Tribolium castaneum: one gene and its partner. The protein of the gene in region 1 purifies or fractionates together with the protein of each later gene. This does not show direct contact. Links are inferred from orthologs where the notes say so. Each region holds a gene or a part of one and is shown in the gene's direction. Other genes may lie near its edges. The genes, in order: protein dj-1beta and Pten.

Evidence for each region.
Region 2: the proteins of protein dj-1beta (region 1) and Pten purify together in Homo sapiens (affinity purification with western blotting; 4 studies listed by BioGRID, with this or other methods). This does not show direct contact. The link is inferred for Tribolium castaneum from reciprocal best matches to the Homo sapiens genes PARK7 and PTEN.

Annotation. Positions count from the first base shown.
Region 1 is NC_087401.1:11,623,611-11,639,100, forward strand, and holds protein dj-1beta, read left to right. Parts: upstream 1-13,457; 5' UTR 13,458-13,480; coding exon 13,481-13,648; intron 13,649-13,699; coding exon 13,700-13,925; intron 13,926-14,276; coding exon 14,277-14,524; 3' UTR 14,525-14,566; downstream 14,567-15,490. Other genes in the region: TWiK family of potassium channels protein 7, read left to right, coding at 3,508-4,037; Hsc20 (iron-sulfur cluster co-chaperone protein HscB), read left to right, coding at 4,850-5,193, 5,247-5,439; N-acetylglucosamine-6-sulfatase, read left to right, coding at 6,033-6,134, 6,181-6,240, 6,287-6,493, 6,541-6,858, 6,909-7,104, 7,159-7,469, 7,837-8,091; Nnp-1 (ribosomal RNA processing protein 1 homolog), read left to right, coding at 8,321-8,528, 8,576-8,655, 8,708-8,848, 8,894-9,489, 9,536-10,229; uncharacterized protein pasi2, read right to left, coding at 11,195-11,296, 11,425-11,661, 12,647-12,741, 12,790-12,919, 12,975-13,172; thioredoxin-related transmembrane protein 2 homolog, read right to left, coding at 14,567-15,045, 15,094-15,274. UniProt on the Homo sapiens protein: Multifunctional protein with controversial molecular function which plays an important role in cell protection against oxidative stress and cell death acting as oxidative stress sensor and redox-sensitive chaperone and protease.
Region 2 is NC_087399.1:148,722-165,430, forward strand, and holds the start of Pten (phosphatidylinositol 3,4,5-trisphosphate 3-phosphatase and dual-specificity protein phosphatase PTEN), read left to right. Parts: upstream 1-11,947; 5' UTR 11,948-12,503; coding exon 12,504-12,549; intron 12,550-12,621; coding exon of another isoform or gene 12,622-12,763; intron 12,764-13,927; coding exon 13,928-14,176; intron 14,177-14,404; coding exon of another isoform or gene 14,405-14,424; coding exon 14,425-15,365; intron 15,366-16,709. Other genes in the region: uncharacterized protein LOC663924, read left to right, coding at 524-587, 1,133-1,321, 1,370-1,560; uncharacterized protein mtsh, read left to right, coding at 2,915-3,349, 3,404-3,877, 3,929-4,384, 4,433-4,591, 4,639-4,800, 4,849-4,965, 5,010-5,189; nmd (outer mitochondrial transmembrane helix translocase), read left to right, coding at 8,370-8,536, 8,584-8,801, 8,850-9,571; uncharacterized protein LOC103314152, read right to left, coding at 10,054-10,413, 10,470-10,992, 12,622-12,763, 14,405-14,807. UniProt on the Homo sapiens protein: Dual-specificity protein phosphatase, dephosphorylating tyrosine-, serine- and threonine-phosphorylated proteins.

The DNA of each region.
Region 1 (15,490 bases):
GAAAATAAATCTACTACTTTAATTTTTAGTAAAATATTGGTTTTTGCTAAATTTTTAGCTGAAATATTAGGGTGCAATTTTTTTATAATAGCTTTTATTTTAAATTTGGACTGATCGAGAAGATGGGTCGTTTCTTCAATGTTTGATGAAAAATGCTACAAGTGTTTTACGGGGTCGGTCAGTAGTCACAAAAAAAATCGTTAATGCTTTTTGCTCTATTACTTTCTTTAATTAAATGAAAAATAACGTAAAATCAAAATTTTGTTACGAGTATACATATTTTATTCAAAATTTAAATACATTGTATACGGTGGTAGTTTTGATTATTTCTAAAAAAAGTAACTGTCTCCTTCATTATATTTTCATCACAGTCACAACCACCAATATAATAATATAATTTTTTTCTGTAGATGTAACCCTTTTGTCAAACTTCCAAAAGGAGACACCACAAGACCATACGTTATACGTTTCAAGACCTTTGAAATTCGAACGGCCTTTCATGACCTGTGTACGTTCCGTTCCTTAAACTAGATAAAAAAAATAGTTACAAACAGCTTCTTTCTATTTTTCCAGTCAATACCTCGGTCCCAAAGGCTGAAATAATTGGATTCTCTTTGGCCTTTTGAGGTTTTCACCATTACTTTTAACATATTTTGGTAATAAATTTAATTTTCGTTTTGGCAATTTGCTAAGTGACATTTAGATTTGCAATGGATTTGCTATTCAGCTTGCGTTGCTATAAACAACTCGTTAACTATCCGGTAAGGTACCGATAGCTTGCAATTTTTTTGTGAATTAGGTTGCAAATATCTCGATAAGCCTCGGTAACGGAATTGCAAGTTGCAGTTATAGTAGCGATTTGCAGATAAGTTTCGTGAATGACCCCCAGAGTTATTGCGAGATAAATACTCCAGGTATCTACCGGAAATAGCCCAAAATCTCGACAAAAATTACTAATTTTTATTTACTAATTAGGGGTCATTAAATTAAATTACTAATTTTTGTCGAGATTTTGGGCTATTTTTTGAGTTTAATTTTAAATTAGAAAACTCAAACATAAAAAATCAAACCTATTAACTTTTTTGCACTTTTGAGAGATGCAAAAGGTTCTAAAAACAAAGAAAAATGCATAAAACTTTGCTAGAGCGTCAAGTTTTTAAGAATATATGTAAATATTTTTAATTGTTTAAAGCTACACTTGTAAGATATTGTAAAAAAGACTACGCCCGGCTCTAGTAACTAAATGTATGAATGAAATCTCGTTTTATTATTAATTATTTCAACAAAACTTTATTCATAATTTGCATGGATTCTCTCTAAATACAACTTGCGTGTTTTTGAAATTAATTTACTACAACTAGATGTATAGAAGCTAACAAATTTAATACCAAAATAAGATTTGACTGCCAAGTCAAGTATTTCACATCATTTGACCTTCAACTTGATAGAATTGTAAGACATTTATTACATTTTAAATTATTAAAAAAATAGCAAAAGGAGTGGAATACTATGTTGAAGTACATGAATCCAATTGTTCTTGCGAATGGAGCCGTAGATCGATAAAAAACAGCTCCTGTTTTTTGTAAATATACAACAAAATGTTACATGTTACACATTGCTCACTGCTGCTTAAAAAAAAACAGAGAACTCTGTGAGTCAAAAGTAAGTGTTAGTAGACACACAAAGACTGCAAAAATAATATTTACTGATGAATCTTAATTTGAGCGTTGGAGACTCTTAAGATTCTCAAAAACTGATAATAAGAAACTCCTAAGACCGTGAGAGAAACATAGCATATCTTCAAAGGGTTTGAAACAATCTGAGTTCATAGATAAGACAGTAATCAGCATCAAACATAAAATATTTTGCAGAGGTTTATTACTACTCTCTAATAAAGTATTTGTATTTTATAAAAAAATACTTTTGAAATACCAATTTTTGCATTATTGTTATGTTTTAGCCAGCAAGTAGCCCTTATTTAAATATCATTATGTCATTTAGGCACAAAATAAGAAATTATCTTTGAAATCTTTCTTATAGTAATAATTCAAAAAATTAAAAAATAAAATAAAACACCAAAATTCTGCGACAGATTTTAAAAATATACCACCGTACATTCGAGCTGTTATTAAAACCAAAAAAAAATATTAGATACAAATTACTAAAAAGTTTTTCTTTTTTTTGCCCAAACAATTAGTTGTCCAATATTTTTTATTATTTTAATTTTATGTTAAATAAATCTTTTGTTATCATCGTGAAAAACTATTATATAGATTTAATAATAATACTCGCAATTCAAATCTAAGATATCCTAATTTAATGTCCTTACCCTTACCACATTTTCATTCGGCTGTGTTTCAACGTTCATTTACTTACAACTCAGTTTCTTTTAACAATAAATTAAATGCGCCTATCAAATCAAACAGTTTTCGCAAACAATTTTTTTTAAGTAAGCAGACAAACAGCATATAATTATTTTTATTATTTTTTATTTTTAATATTATTTGCTTACCTCCTCTATTCGTTTTCATTTTGTTTTCTTGTTTTGTTTTATTTTGGTTATCATATTTATTCTTCTTACCTATTTAAGTATGATCGTAATGATTTTAATGTTCTTGTTTTTTTTTGTATTGGGGTTGGAGCAGCTTCGGCGTATATTATAAATATTATTATTATTATTATTATTATTAATTATTATTTTTAATAAACATTCACTAGCTTGACATGCATTTTCTTTACAAAAATGTATACGACCGAACATTTAGTTGTTAGGGCTCGTAGTACAGGCTGTTTGTGGATCGCGCTCGCAAATTTTAACCACTAATAAATCTCGCCAAAAAAAAAACGACTTTTCTGTCTCCAATTTTTGCCTAAAACATGTCATTTCTGAGTTAAAATTAAAATTAAGTTGAGGCTGAAAACCCGTCTCCGCCTATGTCTAGATACGATATTTCCATTTGCTCAAACAAAAAAAAACTATGGAACGTAAACAGCGTAAAAACAAAAAAACCTTATTAGTGTCAATGTTAGTAGGTCAGTAGTAATGGGAAAAAAAATTTTGGATACGGAATTTGTTTTGTCTTTTATTTTTCATAACGCATTCTTTAAGTGGTTAAAATTTGTGAGCGCAATCCACAAACACCTTGTATATTACGTAAAATAAACCGTAAAATTGCTGGAACAACCCGTTTTGTTCTAGGACTTTTAGTTTTCGAGTCATGATTTTTTTAGTGAAGGACTAAAAATAGTACCCATGTGAAAAAAATCAAAAGTTCAAATTCAATTTGCAGTAATTGCTCCTCCAGTCAATCGGCTCCGAATCACCTTAATCAAAGCTCAACTTTCGTCAGCATCCTCTCACTGTACATTGCAAAAGCGTAAACCAATTAATAACCAAATCCGACTTTCTATCCCCTAGTGCAGCATTCAATTAAGTTTAATCGAGTTTTTGTCGAATTCCAACTTGATTAATTGTTATAACTGATTGATTTTTGTTTCGTTCCGCAGGCTATGGTTCCGTCTCACCGCGGACATCTTGGGGTAAACTCGTCACCATCTTGTACGCCTTGGTGGGAATCCCCCTCATGTTGCTCTACCTATCAACAACCGGCGACCTCCTGGCCCGCAGTTTCCGGCGCCTTTACGGCAAACTCTGCGGCATGAGCAGCCAGAAGCCCCCATGTCCCTGCACCAACCCCGTGCGGGTCCCCGTCACCCTCTGCCTCGTCATCGTCCTCGCCTACATCTGCTCAGGGGCCGTGCTCTTCCACCGACTGGAAAACTGGTCGCTGCTGGAGGGCTCCTACTTCTGCTTCACCTCCCTGGGGACCATAGGCTTTGGGGACCTCCTCCCGGGGCAAAACGCCGAGGAGGTCTCCCTGTGCGCATGCTCGGCTTACATCCTCACCGGCATGGCCCTGGTGGCCATGTGCTTCAGCCTCGTCCAAGACGAAGTCATCAATCTCCTGCGCTACATTGGGGCCACGTGCACCCGCAACAAGATGCTCAAGGTGCGCGACGAGGAGAGCGCCTCCTGACAGCGGCCCCAGACCGAGGGGGCGGCCCCCATCAAGAAACCCCCCGTCGTCAACAAGATCCCCCCCATGCTCCAGCACAACAGCCTCCCGCGCAAAAGCAACTTCAGCCGGAACACGCCCGCGAGGAGGTCGGCGGGGGCGGAGCCCCTCGTCGAGTATTTCGTGCCGAGGAGCGTCAGCGAGTTCGACCTGTCCATAGCCACCGGGGACACCCCCATCACCGGGAACTTCCTCCCTTTGACGGTGAGGGTCCCCAGGAAAATGGCCAACAAGCAGAAGGAGAAAATGGTGACTTTTGAGGACGAAATGGCCGCGAAACTGAACAAGGATCCCGAACTCCAAGACGTGTTCATGTGACAAAAGGGATAACAATTAGTTAATAAGGAGACTTGTCTCGTCGATGATTTCAATACGGTCAAGCGGGAGTTGAAACAGTTCAAAAACTTCAAGCTGTGCGAAGGGTTGAAGAAGTGCGACGAGGACTGCTCGTGCAACGCCGAAGCCGAGTGCGATATTTGCAAAGTGATAGATTTTACCATGAAAAAAGATAAGTTATAAGGGAATTACTAGCAGTGCCAAACTTGTACATAGTGTAAATAAGCGATTGAACTGATTTTGTAAGTTAAGAACCAAGCAGTATTGTCTCTATAATTGTTGATTTTTTCCAATAAACACCCGACAATTAGCACTTTTTTATTAGCACCCCCTTGACTATGCCATGTTGGTGGACCTGCATTTTTGTATTTCGCGCACAAATTATGCGCATGCGCTGCCTAACCCAACCTCAAAAATTGTCCTAAAACCGTAATAAAATGTCCTTACGCACTTTCCTGTTCCGGCAATTACCCAGAACAATTTACCACACTCAAAAATACAGCCCCCATGTGCCTTTACTACAATCAGACGCACATAACCTCAATCTGTGCCCCCGTCGTTTTAACCACAAGGCAATAAAGTGCTGGCAGTGTGGAATTGAGCGCAAAAACCTTGGTGAACTCTTTTGTGAACAGTGCAATTACATACAGTCACCCCCCGAAAAAGACAATTATTTCAAAATTTTCGAGTTGGAGGAAAAATTTTCCATTGATCCAAAGCAACTCACTTCGAAGTATCGGCAAATGCAGGGTCTTTTACACCCTGATAAGTTTTCAAACAAGTAATGTGTGTCCTTATAAGGGTTTTGAATATTATAATTGTTCAATAATTTAGATCTGACACAGAAAAGGATATTTCAGCCGAATTTTCATCCCTTGTCAATAAGGCCTACAACACGTTACAGACGCCCCTAAAGCGGGCCATACACTTATTGCACCTGAAAGGGGCTGTGATTGACGAAGACCAAAGGGTTGAAGATCCGGAATTTTTGATGGAAATTATGGAATTAAATGAAGAAGTAAGCTAGAAGTATGTTGGTTCAGTAACTTAGAGTTATTTAAGGTCGAAAATGCCGATTCCGACGAGAAATTGAAGAAACTAAAGCTGAAAAATGACTCAGAACTTTCCAAAATCGCAAACGAAATTAACAAGTGTTTCGAGACTGGTGAAATAAACAAAGCAAAAGAAAATATAATCAAAATGAAATACTTTAACAGTGTCAGTGTCCATATAAATAATTTAATACGAGAAAAAGGAATTACGGAATAACGATCGCGTCCTTAATTTAGCATTAAGTTACGTTGGTAGTGCTGTCGAGAAATTTGTCAATAACTTTTTTCCAACGAAAAACGTTGTTTTGTCGATTGTTTGGGGCAAAAAATGGGCAAGCAAAATTCATTCACTGCATTCCTGAAAGGTGTATACCAGGACGATTTCAAATGGTGAGTCTTAAACCACGTTGGACGAAAGTGAGGTTATGTGCGTTGCAGGGCTCTAGTAAAAAGCATCGGTTTGTTCGCTTTAGGAGTAAGAATCGCACAAGAGTTTCACGGAGTGGAGTTGCTGACGCCACAAGCGTAAATTAAGTGCGTGTAATTAGTTGTAAATAAAGAAATAAACATGTGGTGGTTGTTTTGTGTCTTTCTTCTTAACCAGTCCCATGCGCTACCCAATTTCGTGTTTGTGTTAACTGACGATCAGGATTTGACGCTGCGAAGCTTGGTGAGGCTTCGCCTTATCAAAGGGGCTACTTTATCTCTTTTTTTAGGATTTTTTAAATCAGACTGTCAAATTGGTGGCTAATCAAGGGCTCACTTTTACGAATTTTGTAAGTCGAGTTGTTAACACACTTGGGTCATTTTGTGTGGTTTTAGTACGTCAATTCGCCCATTTGTTGCCCCAGTCGTAGCACGATTTTGACAGGGAAGTACCCACACAATATCCAGGTTTTTAATAACTCGCTCACAGGGGGCTGCTCTAGCGTGAGGTGGCAACAACAGTACGAGAAAAACACAATTGCGTCAATTCTCAAGTCGCGAAAAAACTACACAACGTTCTACGCCGGCAAATACCTAAATCAGGTTTAATCACAATGAAAAATTCACTCTTGTTTATTATTTTTTTCAAGTATGGAAAGTCGGGTAAAGGCGTTAAACACGTCCCCCCAGGTTACGACTGGTGGTTGGGGCTTAAAGGCAACTCCAAATACTACAATTACACGCTTTCGATCAACGGCAGTGGTCACTTTTTCGAGAAAGATTACTTAACCGATAAAATCACAAAATATGCTTTAGATTTTTTAAATCAGACAGACGAGGGAAATTTTTTTATGATGTTGGCGCCGCCGGCATGTCACGCACCTTTCACACCGGCCGACCGACATCGCCGGTTATTCCCCGACTTGGAAACTTTGAAAACACCGCCATTTAATGCAACACCGTCTGATGTATATTTCACGGTCTCGAAAAAATTTAAACTAATAATTATATTGTATAGAAACACTGGATTGTGGCTATGCCTCCCATGAGTTTGCCCCAAAACGTCCAAATTTTGGACGAAATTTACAAAAATCGAATTAGGACGCTACAATCTGTTGATGAGATGGTGCAAGCTCTTATCACAAAATTGCAAGAAATTCGGGTTTTGGATAATACGTATTTTATTGTTACGTCCGATAATGGGTTCCATATTGGTGGAAAATTATTGTAATAATTTTTATTTGTTAGTTTGATATAATTTGTTTAAGGTCAATTCACGCAACCGTGGGACAAAAGACAGCCGTATGAAAGTGATATTCGTGTTCCTTTCATGATAAGAGGGCCCAACATTCGCAAAAAAACCGTATCGGAAGTTTCTGTCTCGGCAGTGGACATATTTGCAACTATTTTAGATTTGGCCGAAATCACATCATTTGAATCAGACGGACGTTCATTTAAAGAAATATTATTTAAAAATCAATCATTTGATAATAAATATACTTTCATCGAATATTGGGGCGAGGGCAATGCCAATTCGATCGATAGTACATGTCCTTGGGGCCCCACTAACCAATTATCGGTAATTATTAATAATACAAGGGGTCCAGCCTAACTCTTGTCTTCTGTAGCTCAGTTATTATTAAAGTTGTTGGAGTTTTAATATTTTGTATTTGTTATTTGTACTCTAGGACACATTTCAGGAAAATATTTCTGTTTATATACAGAGTGTCAAAAAAATATGACGTCATAATATGTTTTTTAATGGCATTCTATTATTTTTAGTGCTCATTAGGATACCTTGTTTTCTTCTTACTATTTTTTTTTCTTTGGTTTCACAAATTGTTCATTTATGACTAGTTTTATTATGACACTTTTTTTGGGGCAGGAGATGAGCTGGACCATCCCCTGTAGACTGAAAATAATTATTTAGGGCCACTCTTTTGCAGGAATGTGTACCAGAGGCATGGTGCAAATGCCAGGACTCGCGAAATAACACTTACACATGTGTTTTGGACATTTCAAGTGCGAAAAAAATCAAATTTTGCTTATTTGAATATGGTTTTGTGGAAGCATACGACTTGATCGAGGACCCCCACGAGCTTGTCAATTTAAAACTGGACGAGGATCAAACGACTCATTATCTCAATGTTCTCGAAAAATTCAAATTTTGTAAAAAGGCCCAATGCCAAATAAACATTTAAAAAAAAACTAGTGATTTTTTCCCTAGGGGTTGGTGCCCCAACCTGCTACTGAACGTTAATGAAATTAACGGTTTTTTACGATTGACGGTTTAAGACAAATACGTTTCTGATAATCACCCTGATCGTTTTACCACGTCCCCAATTTCCCATTCCATTTGAAATTATAAAAATTGTTAAATAAACCTGGTGATTTTTTCGTCTAACGGTTGGTGTGTCGAGTGGTGCAAAAATGGCGGTGCTTGAAACGAGTATGACACCTAAGACACGTGAAAATGCGAAAAAACCGTCAAAAAATAACAAAAAACAAGCCAAAAAGGTGCTTTTAGTGGCACAAGAGTTAAAACTCGCCCGCGTTTTGGCCGGAAATAACAAAACAGCGCGAGATAGGGCGCTGAAAAGCTTACGAAAGTGGTTTCAAAACAGGTCGTCTGCAATTCGTGAGTTGGGTACAAATTTGCATCGTTGTGCTCACACTTCTTTGCAGCTTTCACTGAAGATGATTTCTTACGACTCTGGAAGGGTTTGTTCTATTCAATGTGGATGTCGGACAAGCCTTTGGTTCAAGTGAGTGTATTAAAAAATTTGGTACAATTGTGGTCAAAATTACGAAATTTAGGAAGAATGTGCCGAGAATATTGCAAGTTTGATTCACGCGTTGCCAGTCGAGGGGGCCTTGTTGTTTTACAAGTGTGGGATGACGATTTTAATGAATGAATGGTTTGGGATTGACCAACTTCGACTAGACAAGTTTTTGATGGTAAGTTAGTTGGGTTGGAAAAATCAAAGTACAAGTTTGTTTTAGTTTGTGCGGCGGCTTTTGAGACAGGCTTTTCTGGTGTTGAAAAACCAAAATTGGGGGCGTGATTCAGCCCAGACTTTTACTAAAACACTCTCAGAGACAATTCTGGACCCCCCACGACACAAACCAATGGGGCTGCTTATGCATTTCATTGAAATCTATCTCGAGGAATTATCCAAAGTCTCAGAGGGACAATTGCCCCCACAGTTAATGACAGAGCTGTTAGCCCCTTTTGTGAGACAGTTGTCGTTTAGTGACGATGCTAGAGTCATTGATCATATCAGGAAACACATTTTTATTTATTTGATAAGACAGTCAGATTTGGGCTTGGAATATGATGAGAAATACAAAGCTTGGCGCGCTTTGAGGTTTCCTGGGACTATAGACGCCATGCAAAAAATCGAAGTCTCGGACGACGAAGGGGGCGAGGAGGAGCCCCCACAAGACAAAGTTTTCGACCCTCGGGCGGGTAAAGTCAACGTGGACTTGCCACAATTGAAATTCCACCCAAGAGCTGTGTCTAAAGCTTTACTAGAGTGTAGGTTTTCAAAAGAGACCAATTCCAAGTCACGGAAGTGTCTAACTGAACTAGCAGAACAGTAGGTAACAATAGTGAGAGTTGACCCAAATTTGAGTTTGTCTCAGTTTTAGGAAATTAGCATCAGGGACTTATCCCCTTGGTGTGAAAAAAGTAAAATTAGCATCTGATGATTACGATACGAATATTAGAAAAGCAGTTAATCGTTTAGTAAAGTTCGATAAGAAAATCAAAGGCACGAAAAACCGCAAACGAAAGCTCCAAAGTGACACGATTGAGTTACGAGGCGGGAAAAAAATCAAAATCGACGAAAAACTGCGCGAAAAATTCCAAGACGATTTAGTTCGAGTCATGAAAAAGAAACGCAAGTTGGTCGACAAGCCCGAAAGCCCGCCTGAGAAACAGTCCAAACTACAAGTTGAATCAATTTTCAAACGTAATTCCGGGACGTGGTTGGTCACAAAACCCCCTCAAGAAGAAGCGCAAAAAGCGCCACAAGAACTATTTCCGAAAAATAAATGGGATGAGAGCAACCATGCAACTGAAGAGGTGGAGAAAAGCTTGAAGAGTAAAAGATTGAGTTTGCCTACGAAACTAATCAAAAACCCATTTGCCAACTCGACTCCGGTCAAGAAAGTCAAAATCAATACCAAGCTCAATAGGTCACAAGACGTGCAAGAGCACCATGCCCAGATTTTGAGCTCGCCACAAATTCCATACGACGCCAACAAGAAGCCGGCAAAGCCGTTGCTGAAAACTCCGACACTGAAGAGCCCCATTGATCCTTTCTATGCTTTGTAAATCTATTTTTTACGTAATAAAATTGATAATTGTACAGTCATGTTTGGATTATCCGAACGTCTGAATCCCGTAATCCGAACTACCGCTTATTTATTTTAACTCCGGATTATTTTGTAGAAGGAAGCTGAAACAGCTGTTTGAATATATTGTTTAGTTTTTTAATTTCTTATCCTGAGGCAGAAAACCGAACGCAAGTTCAGATTATTTATATAATTTATTATGAGTTCTGTGGTCTGTACGGTTTTTCCAAACATTGCAATTGAAATTTTGATACGCCTGGAAGTTGGGCAACCACCATTACAATGATGCATTACATTTAGATGGTATTAGTTGACATTTTGACTTAACCTAAAAATGGCGGTGAATTTGGCCGATCAAATTCTGTCAAGCAGAAGCCAATTTATTAAACATTTGCGAGAAGATTTGGCAAAAACTGAACAAACCATCTTCTCTGTTACGAATCAATTGGACGAGTTGAAACTTACAAGCGAAAATGTCCGCACCTTGGGCAAAAAAGTGGAGCACCAGTCCTTGATACCTTTAGGTGCAAATATCTACGTTAATGGCCTGATCACACACACTGGCGAGTACTTCTTGGATAAAGTGGCCTTTCCTGAATCGTACTCAGTTGTTGAAACGTTGGACAACACGATAAAATTATTAGAAACTCGCATTAAGACCCAATCAGAGTTGCTCAAAAAAGGGGAGGATTCAAGGACACAAATCAGCGAGAGGATTCGGCTCCTGGAGGATGGGGACGGGAACGACGACCTCCCTAAGGAAATAGTATCGGACCGAGGAGTGGCATTGAAAGTGGGCGACTATTACGAAATCGTCGAATTCGAAAATTAAAACAATGTATTATCCAAGTGATTACAATAAAAAAATATAAAACTGTGGACGGATAGATTACGATATGGTGGACACGGTGGTCCCGAACGAGAACGAGCTGGGAATCCCATAACTCATCCCACTGGCATCGTCGAGACCGTACTGTGGGGTGTCGTCGGTCGAGAGCCCGCCAGGGAGGGGACTGTCGATGCATTCAGAGACTGCATTGTGCCCATCTTAACAAAACAAAATACTTTTTAGCCACAATTCTACAACGACCAAACGCTTACCTAAATTGTACCGTTCTGTTATCTATCGCAAGCATGCACAAAATAAATTATTTACTAATTGTACAGTCACTCACCCTCAAATGCGCCAAGTCCTCGAGTCGCGTCAAGTCGGACAATTCAATGTAGAGCGAGTAGACGAGGATCCAACCGTAGATGCTTATGGCCAAAAACACCGTCCAGAGGAGGCACATTAGCACGTTGTAGGCGAAAATCATGTCGTTCACGATGGAGAAGAAGAGGTAGGCCAGGAGGCGGAAAACGGTGAAGATGCCGAAGGCGTACAGCCACGGCACCATCTTCTTCTCATATTCCTTAATTAAACAATTAACATAAGTCCGTCATTGTTACAATAAACTGCAATTTTTTATTTTTTCTATAAATTATATCCATATTAATTTTGTTCTATTTAGTGGATAATACCAATAAAAACATTTTTGTAACTTCAGGTTTTGTAGAAAATTAATTTCTCTTCCGTGGTAATTAAATACAGGGAGACCCAGGAGTGTGTAATCAGTCTACATTTTTTTTGGTAATTGAAATATTGTTAATTGTTAGGCTGTTTTTATTATCCGATAGATGACTTAAAATCCACAAACTAAAAATATTTTTATTATACACAGAGTGGTGAACTAAAGTTATATTTTTAAACAGAACACCCTATATATTTTTGCATAATTAGAATCTACGCGAAAAAATAATGTAACTTTATATAAACTATTATGGTTCTATCTTTTTTCGTTTTAAAATTAATCAACTTTTCGTTATAAAAAAGATAAAAAATCACTGCAAAGTCGTCTATGAATATTTTTCGGAAAATTTGCAATAAAAAAATCAGAATACCTTGCAGTTTTAACAAATAGACGCAAATTCAAATTCCAGAACCACCTGAGATCCTACAATATTTATAAACAGTCCGTATAATCTATAATAGTACATGTCGTTGTACAAACTTAGTTATAAGAGTGCGCAAAAGTGGATATTATAATACAATTAAAAAACCACTTACTTAAAAGTAACATGGAAAATATTGCTTTAATTAAATCAGGCGCCCAGCTTTCGCCGGGCAATCAAGAAATTTTCATAGACTCATTTGAATTGTTCCCCTCCACGGAAATCTTTAGTAAAAGGCGAAAGATTTATTCGCACTGAAGGGAAACCAGAGTGATGTTTGAAAATCAGCCTTTCGTTTATATCCTGGCCCGTACGTATGATATTCGTGACTCGTTACATTTAGCGCCACCTATCCACCACCACAACAAGTACCAACAACAACAAATCAAAGTTTTGTAGTTTTACCTTCCGGAGAGCAATTATAAGCATAATGCTGGTCACAAACACACCAATTGCCAGAAGAATGGAAAAAGCAGCAAACATTACAAGAGTATTGCGGACTAAAACAACAAATTGAGGACAAATGGGCGATTAAATGGTGGGCTTACCGTGACGGTTTCCCACGTAAATAAACTGGTAGGAAATAACGTAATAGCCGGTGTGGACGGACCCTGGGACTGCCATTGAGTAGCAGTAGAGATCGAAGCAACTTGTGATAACTGTGAAGATGGACAACAGCTAAAACATGAAATTTATGAAAATGTGATATTTAAACAAAGGGGGCGTAACATACCAAAGAAAACACTCCGATTAATAGGGAGGATCTCTGGACGTCCAAAATATAAGATTCGGTTATGATTGGTTTTCTGTACCAAGGGATTTTCAACGATTTTATACTTCGGCTACTTCGCAAATTCGCACTGCTGCGTGTTGTGACGTGTGAGTACACCGAGGGGGTGCCAGTCGTTGGCGATTTCTTGCCGTAATTCATGTTTTTATGTATTTTTTAACAATTAAATCAATAAATAAAGGTATGACACATTTGGGTAGGTAAACAAATAGGTGTGGCAAACGTCAAATTCCGCCGCCAACCTTGCAACACCAACTAACTAGGTGTGTTAATTACAAGGATGTAATTACCGTAATTAAACAAAATCAGTCATTATGACATTAATTTAGGGAGTACGGACACAAGGGGAATTACGTGTATTTATTTCCAATTTTATTTTTTGCAAAATATGCAATTTTGTTGAACAACCTAACGCGAACAAAATCCCCAAACTGGCATGACCTACTCCAATGTCAGTCATATGTCAAAGTTTTAGGGCTCCGCTCACTCGCTTTAATAGGTTAGGATTAGCGGTGCGTTTTATTTCGAATATGAGCACAAAAGCCCTTGTTTTCCTCGCCGGAGGCGCTGAAGAAATGGAGGCTGTAATCGCAATTGACGTACTTCGCAGAGGCGGTGTAAATTAACCCCTACTAAAAAAAAACACAAATTTTTCCTGTTATTTTTAGGTGGAAGTAACAGTTGCAGGCCTACCGGACGCCAACATCATCAAGTGCAGCCGCGGTGTCAACATTAAACCTGACATTTCAATCTGTGAGGCCAAAGGCCCCTTTGACGCAATTGTCTTACCTGGGGGGCTAGGAGGGGCGAAGGCTTTGGCCGCGTCTAAAGAAGTAGGGGAGTTGATTCGGGAGCAGGAGGCGGCGGGGCGACTCACGGGGGCGATTTGTGCCGGTTTGTAATAATTTACTGTGAAATTTCCTTAATTATACAGGGTGACCCAAGGGTGTGTAATCTATTTGATAAAACTACAAGGTATTCAGAATTTTTCTATTGCAAATTTGGCGGAAAATATTCATAGGCGACTTCGTTATGATTTTTCAAAAATTGGTCTTTTTTATAACCAGAAGTTGAATAATTCCGTTATACAACACCCTGTGTATAATAAAAATATTTTTAGTTTGTGGATTTTAAGTCGATCTATCGGATAATGAAAACAGCATAGCAATATTTCAAATAGCAAAGTTACACAGCCCTGTGTCACCTGTATAATTGGTTGCCTATGTTAAAATTATGGGGTTGTAGCGCCCACGGCCTTGAAGGCCCATGGGGTTTATGTGGGCAAGACTGTGACGTCGTACCCAGCCATGGAGGCGCAAATGCTCGAAGGTGGTCAATATAAATACAAAAAGGAGCCAGTTGTGGTTGATGGGACTCTGGTTACAAGTCAAGGGCCTGGCACTGCCTTCGTCTTCGCCCTAACCCTAGTGGACAAACTTGTCGGAAAGGACAAGGCGGCAGAAGTGGCCAAAGCCATGCTTTTGTCGTATTAACAATTTATTACTATGGCACTAGAAACAAATAAATAACAATAATTAGTCGTTCTTCACGTGTTTGTTCTTATTATTCTTAAGCGCGCTCTTGCACTCTTCGTACAAGTTATTGAGATCGAAAGCCCCTTTAACGTTCTCACTCGAGAAAAAGAATTTCAAAATGTTGCCTTTTGAGTCAATAGCCGGCCTCCGCACCACTTCTTTCCCTTCTTTAAACAGAATTGTCGTGGGTAACTGCTTACTTAAACTGCTGTCATTCACGCGATATTTCTGTGCGGCATCGGGGTATCGCCCCACGTCGATTTTCCCAAACTTGAAATTCTCCAAGTGATATTCGGTGCTCAGTTTTGCGAAAACCGGGGCGAAGTTCACACAAGCCGGGTTCCAGACGGTGTAAAACGTGACCAACCAATAGCCGTCCCGACTACGTGCCAATTCCTCGTCCAAGCCTTGCATGCCCCGGAAATAAATGACATTGTCAGGGCCGGAATACGTGGGCTCGGGAAATAGCAACGCCCCCACTGAAATCACCCAATTAAATGCGACAATTATGACACAAAATGACTCACAGATGAATATGATCCCGTAGATAATGCCCATCAGAAAATCGGCGTTGAACCATAGTATCAAATTCGCTATTTTTGTGTACACGAAACTAGACGATAAGTAATTGATCATTGATACACTGCCCGATTTTCGGGTCCTGATCATGATCACGATGATCAGGAAGAAGAGGATTTCGGTCTCGCGCTGCAATCAAACAAGTTGGGTGATATTCACAAAAAGTAGAACGTGTTTATACACACTTATAATTTTTTAATAATTATGAAATCACTAGTATGCTATTCGTTATTATATTTCTGCAGAAGTCAGCTTACTAAAAGACATTTTGTTCGGCTGTAAGTAACAGAGTTTGGAAGATTTGGAATTTTTAGATGATTTTTCGTCGATTTCGGTGCGGCTTCG
Region 2 (16,709 bases), on another chromosome or scaffold:
AGCGGAAAAATGGATGGTGTTATTCAACGTGTTATTTCATCAATTGCAACAAATTTGGACGGATATGGTGAATTATCCAATTGTATCAAACGGTTTCGTAATACTAATTAGGATAATAAATTAAAGGGTAGACACAACTTTGCAGACTTTGCAACACGAACGAAACATTTTTTTTTTCGGAAAAAAAAAACTATGTAGGAGTTAATCGAGCCACATCATAGCAAATCAGTAACACGTATACGCCAACTTTTTTTTTTGTAATTACGGAAATGGTAACCCTTCTTCACTTCAGTTCATTTACTATCAATCAATAAAAATTGAAAAAACAATCCGTTATATTTTTCTTAAACGCAGATCGCACTTTATGAATCTTTCCGTTAGAATCAAGGTTTCGCGCAGGCCCTATTTGAAGCTGCATTCAGTCTTCATATTGAACTCAAACCGAACATTTCGTGATCATATAATCTAATTTTATTTAAATTAAATAATTCTTTTCGTTTGAAATTTTTAACACAAACCAATAATGGTCCATTTACAATACATTACTGGACTATCCCTTCTTCTTATTTTAGTGTGTTTGAAATCAAGTAAGTATAAAACACCCTCCAGTTCGAATTTAACTTATGCCTCTCATAAATTTATTTAATTATTGCTACACTTGTGAAGTGCTACACTTGTGAGACAGTAATGATTACATAATCAACTACTTTTATTGTTCGCACCCTTCGAGACCCCTCCAATTTTTTCCACCAATTCAAGTAAATCGCTACTTGTATTGTAGACAATTTTAGAAATACTTTCGCTAAAAAAATTATTAATCAGAAACATGTAAATGCATTAATCGTAATTAATTTAAAAAAGAAAAAGGTGCATGCGCACGCGCAATTTCATTTCGAAGATCAATAAGCTGTACCATTTGGGAATAAAGAGAGAATAAAGTTGAGAAAATCTGAATACTATTTGTTTTTGTTGACGCAAGTCATATCATGAATGATAAACACTAATTTATTCTATTTCTGTACCAAATTTATCTGTGTTCCACGAAGAGACTATATTATGTTCATTGAAAATGAAAACACTTTCAATGCACACCCTCTTTAACTTAAAAAAAAAATCATCCGTTTTCTCTTAGGTAACGCCATTAGATGTTACCAGTGTAACAGTTACGCGGATAAGAGATGTAGCGACACCGATATTGCCAAATATAAGACCGAGTTGGAAATGGATTGCCCCAACATGTCGCCCCCTGGAAGTGAGCCCGGAACAAAGTACAAACTGTGCCGGAAAATCAAGCAAGTGATTGACTTTGAAGTCAATGGATGTAATAAGTGAGATCGAGAGTTTGAACAGTTTTGATGATTATTTTTAGTGCAACCGGAAAGTCGTATTATCAGGACCTGTGGTTGGGATGACTCCCATTACAAGAACAAATGTTATCAAAGGTCGGGGTTCGGAGGTCGTCAAGAAGTGTGCGCTTGTGAGGAAGATGGTTGCAATAGTAGTAGCGCACTTTACGCTTCCGTCGCGTTACTAATGGGCCTATTAATTGTCCACCTGTGAGGTGTTGGAGTTCATTTCTTGCTCACTGGTCGGTCTTCAATAAAAACAATTTTTTTTATAATAAATGTAATTAATGATCAGTTTGCCAATTGCTCGAACTTTTTTCGGTGTGTTCGTTCGTTGAATACGAAAATATTTGTTTCGTGAATAAGCACAATGTTAATAAGCCACAATATCATTGTAGTAGAAGTTTAAATCTTGTTATTAGACATGCTAGAGAATGATTTAAAATTTAATAACTAGTACAAGAATAAAACACAGTTTGGATGGTGATGAGTAAGTATTGTCACTTTGATCCTATTGTATGATAATACATTTTAAATCAATTCGGTTCAAACTTTAGAAAAACCGAATCGGTTTGGTTCGTTTAGATAAGATAGTTGTCTGATTTTCTCATAATCGGTTGCTTTAACGGACGTTAGATGTACATAATTTACTGCCAAAAATGCATTAAATCCATTGACGATTGTTAATCATAATAATAGTCTAACGTAACTGTTATATTACTTTTAGATGCACAACTATAATTTTAAGAGTGAATAAAGCATTGATTTTGAACCGGCCCCATCCTAAAGCCCCCCAAATCTGTTGAGGTTACATAACCGCACAAGAACTTACAGTAATAAAACTAATAAATACAAAACTATTTGTGACTTACCTTATACTCTTATCTGTCCAATTTTAATCCAGTTTCACGAAAAAAACACACAAAATAAAATAAACAAGCACTTTCGAATAAGACCACACTATTACCAACCCCACCCCACTAGGAGAAACCGTACTACCAACCTTTTTTGAAACAATTTGCGGGAAAAATAAGAAACACAAGCTTTAATCAAACACTTTTCTATTTGATTAGGTGATTATTATCGGCACAAATCATTTTTTTTTTCGTGAGAAAAAATTAATAAACGCTATCATATTGGCGTTGCTATGACGATCCTGAATCCATCAAAACAAACAAATTTTTTTCGTACGTCAAATCCGTGTTTGAAATGTTGTGAAAAATGTTATTTTAAGAATTAATTAGTGCAATTTTATGTAAGTATTAATCGCTTGCGTAAGTTCGGCATAGTAGCGACTCAAAATTGCGTAAAAAAAGATTTTGTTAGAAAAGGCAGGACCGAATTGGCCCTCTGTGACAAGGCCGGGCTCCTGATTCGGTAGTCGGTAATGATTAATGATTAATGAATTTGAAACTAATTTTTTGTATTAGCTTAGCGAATAAAGGACAAATAAACGCAAAGTTTGTTTTAATAATGAGCCCATTTCTAATAGTAACCAAAAGTCCTAGACAAGATTTAATTAACGTGCTAATTATCCCCTCCCTTCCAGAACTTTCCCAAGTTATATAATGGATCAAAACCGTCCTGACGTGAACGGGAATCATCAACAAAACGTCCATTTGCACATGCATCACGTATGCGCTTGTCAAAGCCTCTACCCCACCACTTACTACCCTCCGATCAGTTATCGCACCCCTTTAATCCCTTACGCTGCTGCACCTCAAACTGTTGCGCGCCCTTATCTCCAACATTATCAATACACTCAATTCAACGTCGGCAGTCAATACAACATGCCAATGACACAATTATCATCCACATTCACTGGAAGCACCCCTGGTCATCCAGGGCCGGATTCAGCCGTCGCCATCCCTAGCCGCGATCGACGTGAAAAGGGGGATTCCCAAGACAGCGTTCCCGATCCGGAACGAACTCCTCCGGAACCACCCGAGTTTGAATTTGGTGCTGGTCCTATCATTCCCCCAGTAAACGAGCTTTTTTTCATGGTAATTTTCTAAAATTACTATGTTATTTAAACAACTCCTATCATTTATAATTAGAACAACTCGGAGGACTTCCAGATGAACACTGATAGTTTTATTAAGTTTCTGGAACGTAGTTGTTTGACAGCCGAACAAATTGCGTATAGAAATCGCAACAGGCCGTGCTTTCGCAATATACAAAATTTGTGTATTCGGACAAGATCGGAGATACTCAAGCCGCGAACAACTATTTCAAATATACACTCACAGGGGATCCCCTGGGCCACAAAGGATTTTATTTATGCATTTGTCAGACTCACCAACTGTTGGCATATACTGAAGGGTTATTGGGAGAATCGTGAAGGCTCGGCTTTGGGAAAAATTGAAAAAGAGTTAACTCCGGGTTTTAAAGCTTGTTATGTAAGATGGGAAAGAGAAACGGTTGAGTTGGCTACCGAATTGACAAGGATTTTTTATAATCTAGACGTGAATCAAAGCAATCCTAGTCCCACAGTTAACGTACATACAGCAAACAATTTGATCCCTCCTCAGGTAATTATCCTATAATTTTAATCCCAAATCCCTGACCCTGGACCATGTAAGGTGAGTCTTCTAAAAACCGGCGAAACGAAAAAAACTACTGCAAGTAGCGAAAGTGCCACAACTCCAACTTTAACTAATACAACTTCAAATTCGAGTAAGAACGTCAGAGGAATACTTCATTTACCTTCAACGTTGTCTACAGAGACTGTAGACCAAGGGAATCAAACGTGCTCTGGTGATTTTTGTACCAAATCTGATGATAATGACTCAGACGAGGAAAATGCAGTTGTTTACATGAAACCGGGAAGTTATCGAGTTCCCAAAAAATACAAAAATAAAGAATTATCAATCATCAATAAAAATAACAGCCCTCGCGTTATTGAGTTTCTTGAAACGGCCCAAAATATCACAAAAGGACTCGAAGCGGCCAATGATAAGTATTGGGTAAAAGTCAAAACCTCAGCTAAAAAACCTGAACAAGTTAAGTCGGAAATTGACGAACCGATGGAGAGTGAGGTACAATTCTCGCGACTTGAAAACTTACAGCTTTAAGCGTTTTTTTAGATGAATTCGGAAGTGTTTTTCAATGTACACGAGTGGCTCTCTAATAGTAATTTTTCTGATTATGGAGACCGATCAAGCTCTTCAACTTCACCTCCGAAACCGGCTCAGTTTTTTCCCGACCTTTTGGACGATACTTCTTCCAATCTTGAATCAGATACGGTAAAATATTCATTTCTGTAAGACTCCGTTTAGATTTTTTTAAACAGATACCGTCACGGACTTATCGGAGAAAGCCCGAAACTTTAAGTATTATGGTCTATGAAATGAAAAGTGGAGGTCTAACTAAAAAAGCTAAGACAATCCTTGAAAAAATCCTATATGAGTTGAAAGGCACGGAGTTGGCAGGATTATTGACCGAATGCGTGATGGTGGATCTTGTGTTTATTAATTGTGTTTTTTTTTATTTAAATTTTTAGGACGGTCCAAATTTGGATATGGTTCAGAAAAATCTTATTAGAGATTGTTACAGATATGTGAACGAGTTTGTGAGAGATTTGCGTCATTTGGTGAATAGTGCCAGTCAACATTTCAAAGTAAGTAGATTTGGGTGACGTTCAGGATTATTGTAGTGTTTCAGAAATGTGACCATACGGAGGACAAACTGAAGATGTTTTCGAAAAAATTAGAAACTTTGCTTGCTGAATACTTCCCGAATTATGATTTCGGGTCGATAAATGGGCACAGAGGCGAAAAAGTTGGCAAGTTGAAATTAAAAAATTGCTTGTTTGACGGTGACGGTGACCATTTAAAAAATTGATAAAGATAAGGAAAAAATTCCGATAAGGATAAGTACAAATTGGGCGATTTGCGTCTCAAAAATTTCCTACTAAAAAATCGTTAAATTTTAGGTGCATGAAAAATTGTTTTAAGTAAACTTAATTCTTGTTACAAAAAACTGTTTGTTTTATAGTCGTAAGGTTTGTTGTTGTATAATTTATTATAAATTGCTGTTTCGATTAAAAATATCTCTCTCATTAAACAAAACTTGTTTTAATTAAAAATTATACAGTAATCAGAGTTGTGTGACTTTGTCCCTTTGTTTGCAATTGGTTCCTCCTTCGAATTCCGCTTGCTCTTGCAGTTGACGGTCTCTCTCGGCCTCCCACAAGTAGGGATCTTTTTTTAGGGTGATACATAAGAATGCGCTTGCCAACATCCCCAAAATAACAAATAAAATTAAGATGCTAAAGCCGATGATAAAAGTTATTGTGTTGTCCGATATCTGAAAAGTGTCATGCGCTGTAACGTTGAGAGATGAATTGGTGGAAAGATCCATGTCTGCAAACGAGTAAAATGCAATTAAGACTGCTAAAGTCGGCTAAAAAAATCGTCAAATTGGATATTTGACTTTTAAATTATACCGTTGGGTAAAGCTAAATAATTGATTTATTTATGAGGTTTTATTGTTAAAATTAAATTGACAGAAGGGAGAAACAAACAACAAATGAGAAAGATACGTGCCGGTTTAATTTTTTACTTCCACATTAATCAACCTTGACGAGAATGTTAAAATGAAATCGTGATTTATCTCAAGTGTGGTAATTTTATTTCAGATCTGCCTTTCTTTATTATTAGAAATAAATCGAAAAAAGTTTTGTTTATTATCTTTTTCGAGTAAAATTTTCAGTAAAATTAAAATTCATTATGCAAAAACACCTTAAAAGAAATATAAATCGATTTCACTTCGTGCCTACAAATTTCTCTAAAGTCTCAACACCTCTGTCTTACCGATTAGACGATACTCAATCATCTGCAACCGAAGCAATAAAAATCCTTTCACCGGCTTTATGAACTTCCTGGCGACGGCTTCCATTTCCAGACAAATTAGGTAGACAAAGCTTTTAAAACAATTTAATTATCTACCATTTTGACTATAGATGCGAACTTTAGGAAAGCGTACAAATTCTCAACATGATGGTAATTTCTTTGGCTATAATTGGAGTAAACGCTTAATTATGCAGGTCGTTACGTGGCGTCACTTTGAATTAAATTATTTCACCAGTAGCACCTGCTATTTTTATTAATTGACACTAACAGTTTGTTTGTAAAGCAAAGTCCAAAGGATACATTTAATTTTAAAAAACAAACTTTGGGATGTACACAGGTTTGTTTCTTGGGCGTTGAGTAAAAAGGTACGTGAGTTACTTTTTCGTCTCATTTTTCTCGTTATTTTCGACAAAGTTTTGTTCTGAAATATGATTATGATTAAATAAAATATGTCCGAGGTTTTAACTTACCTTTAAAAGAATTGCGAAAAACATATTACTCATTATTTCGTTATTCGTAAATTATTATTTTTCAAATTAATGATGTTGAAAATGGTGGATGCGCCGGGAAAATTAATTGTCGCTTTGCAAGTTAATTGCTTGCATAAAAATGAATAAAAATCTATTAAAAGGAAACTTGCAGCTAGAAAACAATTTTATTTCTACTCACATCCATATTATCTTATTGTATTGTAGCTTAGACACCTCATCCGAAATAAATGTGTATGTTGTAGTATTTTTCTTTGAGTTATTCAATACTAAAAAGCTGTCACTTTATGAAAACAGAAACCAAAATACATAAAAGTCAGCTTTAATTACTTCTCATTTTATTATGCACAGTTCAGCAACTTCTCTCACATTATTTCCACATATTTCACACATTAACAATGCATAATAAAAATTACATTTTATTTATGGCATTAATTAAAAAATTTAGACCTTATAAGTACAGCCGTACCAAATTCTTTTAATCAATTTAATCCAGCTGTGTGTGCTTTTATTATCGCTCTCTTCTTTTCATTCCTGTTTTTTTATATCGAAATGAAACACCAAAATGACTGTTTTAATTAATTCCAGTTTCATATTGTTAAATTAAATTATTTCAGCATATTTATTTAACTATCTAAAGAATAATAATATGTACATGTACATCATTAAGTAAACAATATCTTGGGTTTATTTGTCTTGTAGTTAAATACAACCTCCAGTGGGATAAAATGCACAAATGAAGAAACCTTACATATTCGCATCACAATTGCAAAAAAATATATAAAAGAGAAAGAGCAATTTGATAAGAAAGTAACTGCCACTCGATACCAAACCACGCAGATATGAGACTTTTATTCCAGCTGTTATAAGGGTTTAATGTATCATTTAACATCTTCGAAGAGATTACATGAAAACATTAAATGTTTTGTCTTGAATGTTAGGTACTGAAAATTTCTCTCGCATTTCACAAAGAACTCACAATATTAAATTCGTAAAAACACATTGGTTTCACCTGCTTTTGGTATCATTACATCTACGTTTTATTGGCCTCAGGTGTTTGAATAGGGTAAAAATCGGATAACAATCGATTCTGCTAGTGTAGTGTTGAAAAGCTAGTTAACCTCCAGTGTATCCAATTTCAATTAAACTTTTCGAAATAAAGTTACGGAATTAATTTTATCACCACAAATAATTATTATAATGTTTAAATCCGATTAGATTACGTTCAAAATTAGTTGCTTATTAATAAAAATAATACACAAGACTTACCTACATTTTAATCGCAGCGCAAAATATTGGAATGTGATACTCCGACGGCAGTTTGAAAGCGTCGCGATGCTAAACTAAGCGCCGTTTCCCAAAACATGAATCTGAAAAATGTGCGAATGCGCATACGTTTCCCCAACGTTTTTTATTGTTCAATGTTCTGAATAGCTCTTTTAACACTGATAATAGCACATGGTTAACCATTTAATAATTAATACAGATTTATTGGTATAATATAAATAATAATAGTTGTAAAATTCAAAATTTGCGCCACTTTTGGTAACAAAGTCGTGCCAACCCACCGTGTGACAGTTAACAACAAGTGACACTGTTTTTACATTTCTTTGTAATAGTGGGATGCCCCGGTTTTAAAATCGTCAATGGTAGTGTAATTCCAACTTTCGCGATAAACTGAAATGGCCGATGCCGCTTTTACCCGTAATGAGATCATAAGTTTAGTTGTGAGGTTAACCTTGGTTTCTGCTGTAACGTTCATTAGTATAAAATGGTTAATGAACCAAGTCGATCCCACTAATAAGAGTAAAAAGAAGGCTCGGAAAAAGGCACAGGAGCAGTTGAAAAGGTGGAGAAATTGTTGGTGTGACTGTACCCCAATTACATAATTTTTAGGTTAGCTGGTAGCGGGCATGCTCCTTTAGTTATCGAAAACTTGTCCGACTATGAAATGATGATAGCGGCGCACTTGATACACCCCCAGGACATTAACGTGACTTGGGGCAACATCGCCGGCTTGGACGACATGATCCAGGAGCTACGCGAGACTGTTATACTTCCAATCCAACGCAAGGAGCTGTTTGCGGACTCGCAACTCACCACAGCCCCCAGAGGTAACTAATTAGAAAGCGTCTTATAGAGATTAAAACAACTGTATCTAGGTGTGTTGTTACATGGACCCCCAGGTTGTGGCAAAACGCTCATCGCTAAGGCTACAGCCAAAGAGGCTGGGACCCGATTTATCAACTTGGACTTATCAATCCTCACTGATAAGTGGTATGGGGAGAGCCAGAAATTAGCAGCTGCTGTGTTCACCCTTGCTGTTAAACTTCAACCCTGTATTATTTTTATTGACGAAATTGACTCGTTTCTAAGGTCGAGGAATACCACCGACCACGAGGCGACTGCTATGATGAAAGCCCAATTTATGTCATTGTGGGATGGTTTGATCACTGATCCGAATTGTACTGTTATAGTCATGGGGGCTACAAATCGCCCCCAGGATTTAGACCGGGCGATTTTACGCCGAATGCCGGCCACATTCCATATTTCAATGCCAAACCCTGTACAAAGAAAAAAGATTCTACAACTGACTCTTGAGAATGAACCCGTTGCGCATGATGTTGACATAGATAGACTAGCGAGGCTCACTGATGGCTTCTCAGGTTCGGATTTGAGAGAGTTGTGTCGGAACGGGTCAGTTTATCGTGTTAGGGATTACATGAAAACGCACAGTGACACGGTTTTGGATTCGTCGGAAGATGAGTATCAAGACGCATTACGGCCAATCACAATGGAAGATTTAATGGTTTCGTTAAATAAAATGAAAGAATCGAAAATGCATTGTGGGGCTTTACCGACGAATCGGATCGAGTTGGATTAGCAGCCGTGGTTTCAGTACTTAGCACCCATTATAGATAATTTTGACGACACTGTAGAAATGTATCAAAGTTTTTCAAATAATTTCAAACATTGTGTTAATTATCAGAAAAAGCTTTAGTTTTATTTAGCCCAACGAGGCTGTGCCACGAGTATTGTGTTGGGTTATTTGTGTATATAGTTTAGGGAAATGAGTCGCTCTCTTCAGAGTACAAACACTTTCTATTCAGCGTTGATATTTTAAGCATGTCGCATTCATAATATGACTTTATGTGTAGTTTACAAAGATTTTAAAGTGTGATGATCAACGGTTTTCACTCCATGTTGAAGTCATGCGTCGCATGTTTACAGTGTTCTTCATTTTTTTTATGTGAAAAGGTTAAAGAATAAAAATTACGGACGTTAATCCTCTTTTTACATTGTTACAATAATTACATGGCTTAGACAATTAATGAAATGAAAATTAAGTATTTCCCCTAAAACATTTTACTCCGCCGATAAGTAAACGTAAACAATTCGCAAAATATTCTGGACAAGGAAAGCTTCTCTTGCGCACATTTTGTCCTGAATCTCTTCGTCGCACAAAGTGGTTTTTAATTCTGTTAAAATGTCTTTACCGCTTTCTTTGATATTAATAATGCTTGTTCCAATGATATTATTGAGGATGAACAGGTGGGTCCGGAAATTCTCAAGAACATAATCATTAATTTCCAAGTCCCAATTTTCCTTCAAATGCTCGTAATGTCTCTTGACCTCTTGTGTTAATTGCCTAACAATTATGGTACTATAAACTGAATGTTTACCAAACTCTGTAATCATTATCCTCATAATGCTGAACAAATGAAACTGAAAGTGGAAGACAATGAATCGTAAAAGCATGCACGACTTGCGTTCCAACACACCTTTTCCTCGCAATTATCAATTTTTAACTCTTTAACTGTCTTGATTAGCTTTTCCACGAACATTTCGATGATTTCATCCAGTTTCGTGTTGTTCCAAATGGAGTTTTTTCGATAAGTAAAAATGCAAACTTTTAATTCTTTGAAGTCATTCAAAATTGAAGCTGCATCTTCACTCGTGCAACGACTCAGCTTAATTACGATATAGGCTAGCAGTTTTTGTAAAAGACTGTTGAATGTTTTCGGAACTTGCCATTGTGTTAACATTTTGCAAAGTTCAACGCTTGGGATTAACCAATTTTTTGGCATTTCGGATATTTCGGTGAAAACAACAACGTCGTCTGATATTTTGGTGAGAATATCGCTAATGCAGCAAACATTACGCTCATTTACTTCTTCCATAATAGTTGTGATTTTTTTTAACTGGAGGACGATTTTTTTGTATGTTTTTGTGGGAAATGGGTCAGGGTGAAGGTCAAGGCACAGGTTTTTTAAAGTCTCAGCCAGGCTCTTTTCATACATCATCCTAGAAGCATTTAAAACAAACAATTAAAAAAATTAAAATGTATGAAAAAAATGATTTGGACCAGTATAAGCATGGAAGTGGGAAAATTCTTGGAAAAATTTGGAGTTTTTCCGAGGTTAGAGATTGTGAACATGATATCATTTTCATTCGGTGGGTTTCGTTAGAAAACATAAAGTCGTATTCATTTGAACTGGAATAAGAGTAGGCTTTGATAATATAAGCGTAGAATAATAAATCATTTTGTAAATTTGACTCCGTCCATAAATCAGATATTCAAGAAAAAAGTTGCAGTTATTTTTGGAAAACTATTCAAACGTCGATTTTTTTAAATTTATTTAAATAAAAAACTAAGATAAAATTCGCAACTAAAGTTTAAATTTCTAAAGTTACCCATTATGCCATTAAAATGAATCGGACTTTAAGTTAATTTATGTGTTAAATATGTTATCAAATTTGGGCACTTACGTTGTTAATTTTTAATTAAATGTAAAAAAAATGTGGCAATAATTAATCACTTTCAATTAATTGACAAATTGATTGTGATCGATGCCTTCTAGATTATTGCGTTAAAAATGTCTTATGTTATTTACATTTTTGTTTTTAAATCACAAATGCTAGAAAAATGTAGGAAAATCGTTACAAGCAGGGTTGTAATTTTGAAATAATTAGTATATGAGTCGATAAATGAACTAACGGTGTGGATTATTAGTTTTGTCATATGACATAATAATCAATCGGTGGGTGTCATGAAGTCTCTGGTTGATTTTTGTATTTGCCCAGACCTCTATTCGCTTATCTATCGGAGTAGAAAAGAATTAATCAAACGCCAAATATTTGATTACTGATAAAAGGCTTAATATGACGATTCTTGAAATTTCGTGCAAATTCTGGGAACCATTTTCCACGTGACATTCCTTTTATAAAAGTCCCCTCATAAATATTAATTGTGATTGTATGTAAAGTCTTGTCTGTAGAATGTTCAGTCATCGTTTCGCAATCCTCTGAAATGTCACTAGCGGTGAATCGTAATTTTAATGAGAGAATTCGTCCGGAAATCGCGGTTTTCTTTCATTCATTCGCGTGAAATTATGAAATTCCCGGTCTTTTGCGCGCCCTCTATCGGAATTCTTGACACCAGTCGACGCGATGTAGTTGTCTACATTGACTGAATCTGTGTCGACAGACCGTGTAGTGCCGTAAAAAAGACAAAGACGTTTGAGTGTGGCAGCGATTTAGTCCGAAAACAGCCCCAAACCGGCTTTGAATCCCTTGATCGAGGTGCTCAGAGCAGCCCCGGCCTCCGAAATGGGGACGAGTGCGTGATGTCTATAATCAGGACGGCTGTGGAACGCATGTGGTGTGATTGTTCACCGGAGGCACTGTCCGTTTAAAGGGCCTCTAGAGGGGCTGCGCCCCGGGGGCTGACACAGCGGACACGAGGGTTCAATGGTAGGCACGCACGCCAGCGCACGAGCTATCAACATTTCGTGGACTTTTGCCGAGACTTTTTTATGGGGCTGTGCTCCAGCTGCGGCAAATCAAAGGACCGATTTAAAGGTAAGCCCCATGTTGGAGGGTTGGATACAAGAAACGCGCATCAGTGACATAATATTACCGAGATAACATTACCTTGAAGGTCGCAATATGTAAATAGTTCCGCTTTGGGTCGTGTAAACAGTCCTGCGCCCCGAACCCCCCCAAGGGTCGGCTCGCTCCTCTTCCAAAGGGTTGAAGGTCGCCGGACTGTTGCCGGGCCTGCGAAGGGCATCAACTATTCATGATTTAAATTGTTTATGCAGAGTTATTTTTAAACCATTTAATGGATAATTTAGGAAACTTTCAAGGCACGTTTCCTTCTATCAAATCGGTTTCAGTCATTCGCTCATTTTGGGGACAAAATTCGGCAACGATGAAACGGTTCATGGTCTTCTTGTGACATTAAAACGACGCGTTGTTGTCAAGTCGCACAAAAATAGCTCAAATTCAAATCGGGGATAATTTTAACACCCGCTTCCGGATTTGTTGACATATATCACGTGACTGTTGCTATTTTGACAGTTGAATATTATTATGTGTACAAAATTACGCAATTTAGGCGTCGCTTACTTATCGTCTTCCGGTTTTGATATTTGGGTCAACATTGATTTTTATTATAACATTACCTTTTTTTTATTAATTTTTTTAATTGTAATTGGTGCCAATGAACATGTCATAATAGTCATCACGCCTTTGTTCTGATGCAATAATGCAAGCGATTTTTTTTAAAGATTTTTCTTTGCTTTGTTGTGAAATTTGATCAAGTATTTTGAAATGTAAGCCAATGTGTGCTCATTGGTGCGAAATTACATCCACTGTTAAATATTTCCGTTCATAAAAATGTGAGCGAAATTAATTTAATGAGTAAATTTTATCTGCCGCATCGTTATCTATGATTTTGAGATATTGAATTATTAAAATGTGATACTGAGTACCTGTTACGAGAAAAATTAATGTAATACTCATTAAGTACTCGGCTCCGCCTCGGCCCAAAATTTACGATTTTTTTAAGTGTCTTAAATTGATTACTACAATTAAGATTAGCGTTTTTCGTTTTGATTATTAAGTTGCAGGTATAAAACGAGATGAAACCGACATGTCAACGGTCACGTATCATGTCCAAATATTTGCACAAATTGTAATTCCTTCTGTTTCCATTGATAATAAATTACCATTATCATCCTCCGTTTTTTGTATTTCGTCCAGATATTGCATAACCTCTAGACTTGTAATAAAGTGGGTAGAATACAAAATCGTAATAGTCAGACAGAAGGATAATAAAATAATGATAAGATAAAGACAAGTCCTTTTAGTGGGGGAGTACACTACATACTATAAGATTATACATATCTGCAACCGATAGAATTGCAATATGTAATGTTTTGTTCTCTCGCATCAGATAAATCGTCGAAAATATGTGGCCAACTACATTCAGTCGTTACACCCCTTCATGTGTCACATGAGCCCACAAGTTCGAACAATTTGAACGGGCATTTGCCTGTTCAAAATCACGTCAACGCAAGACCGTACTCTTCAGGTAATATGGCAACATCTTTCCCCAATATGAACATCACCAACCCTATACGGGGGCTGGTCAGCAAGAGGAGGATCCGATACAAGCAGGACGGGTTCAATCTCGACCTGACATGTATCCTTTTCAATGCTAAAAGAAATAATTCTGTTAGTACTGTTTTTAAAAGCTTTTATTTAATTAATGCTTTGTTGCCTGTGTTTCTGTTGTCCAAATAAACTGAAATTTTGCATACATACGTAATTTCCGTGACAATGCTATACTGTTTAGAGTTAATCACCCTCTAAGGGATTTTAGTGCAGATTTTAAATAAAAGCTTATTTTTAAAAATATTTTTTTAGTTACTTTCCTTGACTCGTTTGTAGACATAACCGATAGCATAATAGCAATGGGTTACCCGGCGTCCAACATCGAAGGCGTGTACCGCAACCACATCGACGATGTGGTGAAGCTCCTCGATTCGAAACACAACAACCACTACTTCATCTACAACTTGTGTTCGGAACGCACTTACGACACGTCCAAGTTCCACAACCGAGTACAAACCTTTCCGTTCGACGACCACAACCCGCCCAAAATCGAGTTGATTCAGCCGTTTTGTCACAGCGTTCACGATTGGCTGAGCAAAGATCCAGAGAACGTGGCCGTAGTTCATTGCAAGGCGGGGAAAGGGCGCACCGGGACCATGATTTGCTGTTACCTTTTGCATAGTGGAGCTTTTGCTACCGCTGACGAAGCCCTCGACCATTACGGACAAGCACGGACGCAAGATCACAAAGGGGTCACCATTCCCAGCCAAGTGCGATATATCCGTTACTACGAGACCCTGCTTAGGAACAAGTTGTTGTATGTGCCTGTGTCGATGTACATCAAGCAGATTGTTTTGGAGCCGGTGCCGAATTTTGCAGGAGGCCAAGGCTATGTGTGTTTTTCGATATCGCAACAGACGCTACAAGGACAAGACGATACACAACAAAAGTGCACCAAATTGTATAAAAGCGGAGTCTACGAAGTGAAGAGAGGTGTATCGCAGTTGCTTATCACGATGGATTTGTGTTTGGTGCTAAATGGAGATATTAAAATCGAGTTTTATAACAAGTCGAAGATTGGAAGGAAAGAGAGAGTGTTTCAGTTTTGGTTTAATACATTTTTTGTGATGTACCAAGAGGACAGAACGAACGAATTGATTGAACAAAACGGAAGTGGTGAATCGAAACAGAGTTGCGTGTTGACGTTAAAAAAGGACGAACTTGATATCGTTAATAAAAAAGACAAACAGAATAAAGTGTTTAGTGCTGACTTTCGGGTAAGTTGGATATTAAATAGGTCAGGTTTTCAAACGAAATTTTATCTCGTCGAGTACTCATTATCAATTATTGTACTTAATTCTCTTAGGACAGATGGCCGTGATAATGTCACGCACCTACTGATTTTGTTGAAAGATTAATCTTAGAATTATTATTGAAATGAAAAAAAAAAGCCAATATTATTGCTCTTAAGATTTGAGAACACAAAAAGACGGGAAGTCTGGATGATTTCATTGCGATATTTTTTGTCTGGTATTTAAGTAAGTTTATCGTTCAATTAATTGTTAATTTTTCCATAAAGAAATAAAACTCAGATAAGATAATTGTTGAAATTATCACCATCGTATATAAATGTGTCTCCTCGGATGGCATTGAACAACAAAGTTTTAATCATTTACTGCTGTTCTTTTAACCAAATTTTTAGTAATATTTGTATGGAAAAATAAACCAGCGAAAAACATAACAAGTTAAATAAACCTTAAAAAGGCCCATATTTCTTATTATAATACTGTCTTTCTTATTAATTTGATAACCAATTAGAGAAAATGATATAAACCTAAATAAGGAAGAGAGTGAATTAAAATTCGGTTTTTTAAGAGATCATGATAAAATTGACGGATGATTGATTAAACTAAATCATGTCGCGAGGTCAATGATAATGTTTCATGATTTATAACAAAAACCTAGTTATTTTCGTAACACACTGCGAGAGAATCTTGAAATAAAAAATATCTGATCATATTTTCCAATAAAAATCGCTCCGAAAAATTTCAACTGTTGATTCGAACGACGATCTTTTAAATTAACGTCTATGTCAATTTTATTAATAAACACTTACCCGTGTTATAAAAATGTTGCCCTTAGAAATTACATATTTCCGCACTACATGGCAGTAGATAAAATAATTAAAGAAATTTTTCTTAAAATTACTTACCTACTTTTGAAAATTCTTACAAAATTTTTCATTTGTCTTTTACAATTTTTAAAAGATATGGCTGACAAAATAAGAAATAATACAACACATAAATTTTTTGAAGGGTGTTACTGCGAGGTAAAGGAAAAATTAAAATGCACTCACCCGGTGGCTTTTACTTGTCTACTTGTGCTATTATTAACAATGATATTATAGATACTTGAAAATTTATAACATGCACTGATTTCTGAATGTAGTTTTATGTTTTGAAATTCTAAAATAATAAAATGATCAGTTTTCTTAATTTTATTTAAGAAGTTTATGAGCCGTTCGTTTGCGTCAACAACAAATGACAACAATAATTATGTAAAAATATGATTAAATAATATTATTAAGAAAAAAATTAACTAATTGCAGCCAACGTGCGACA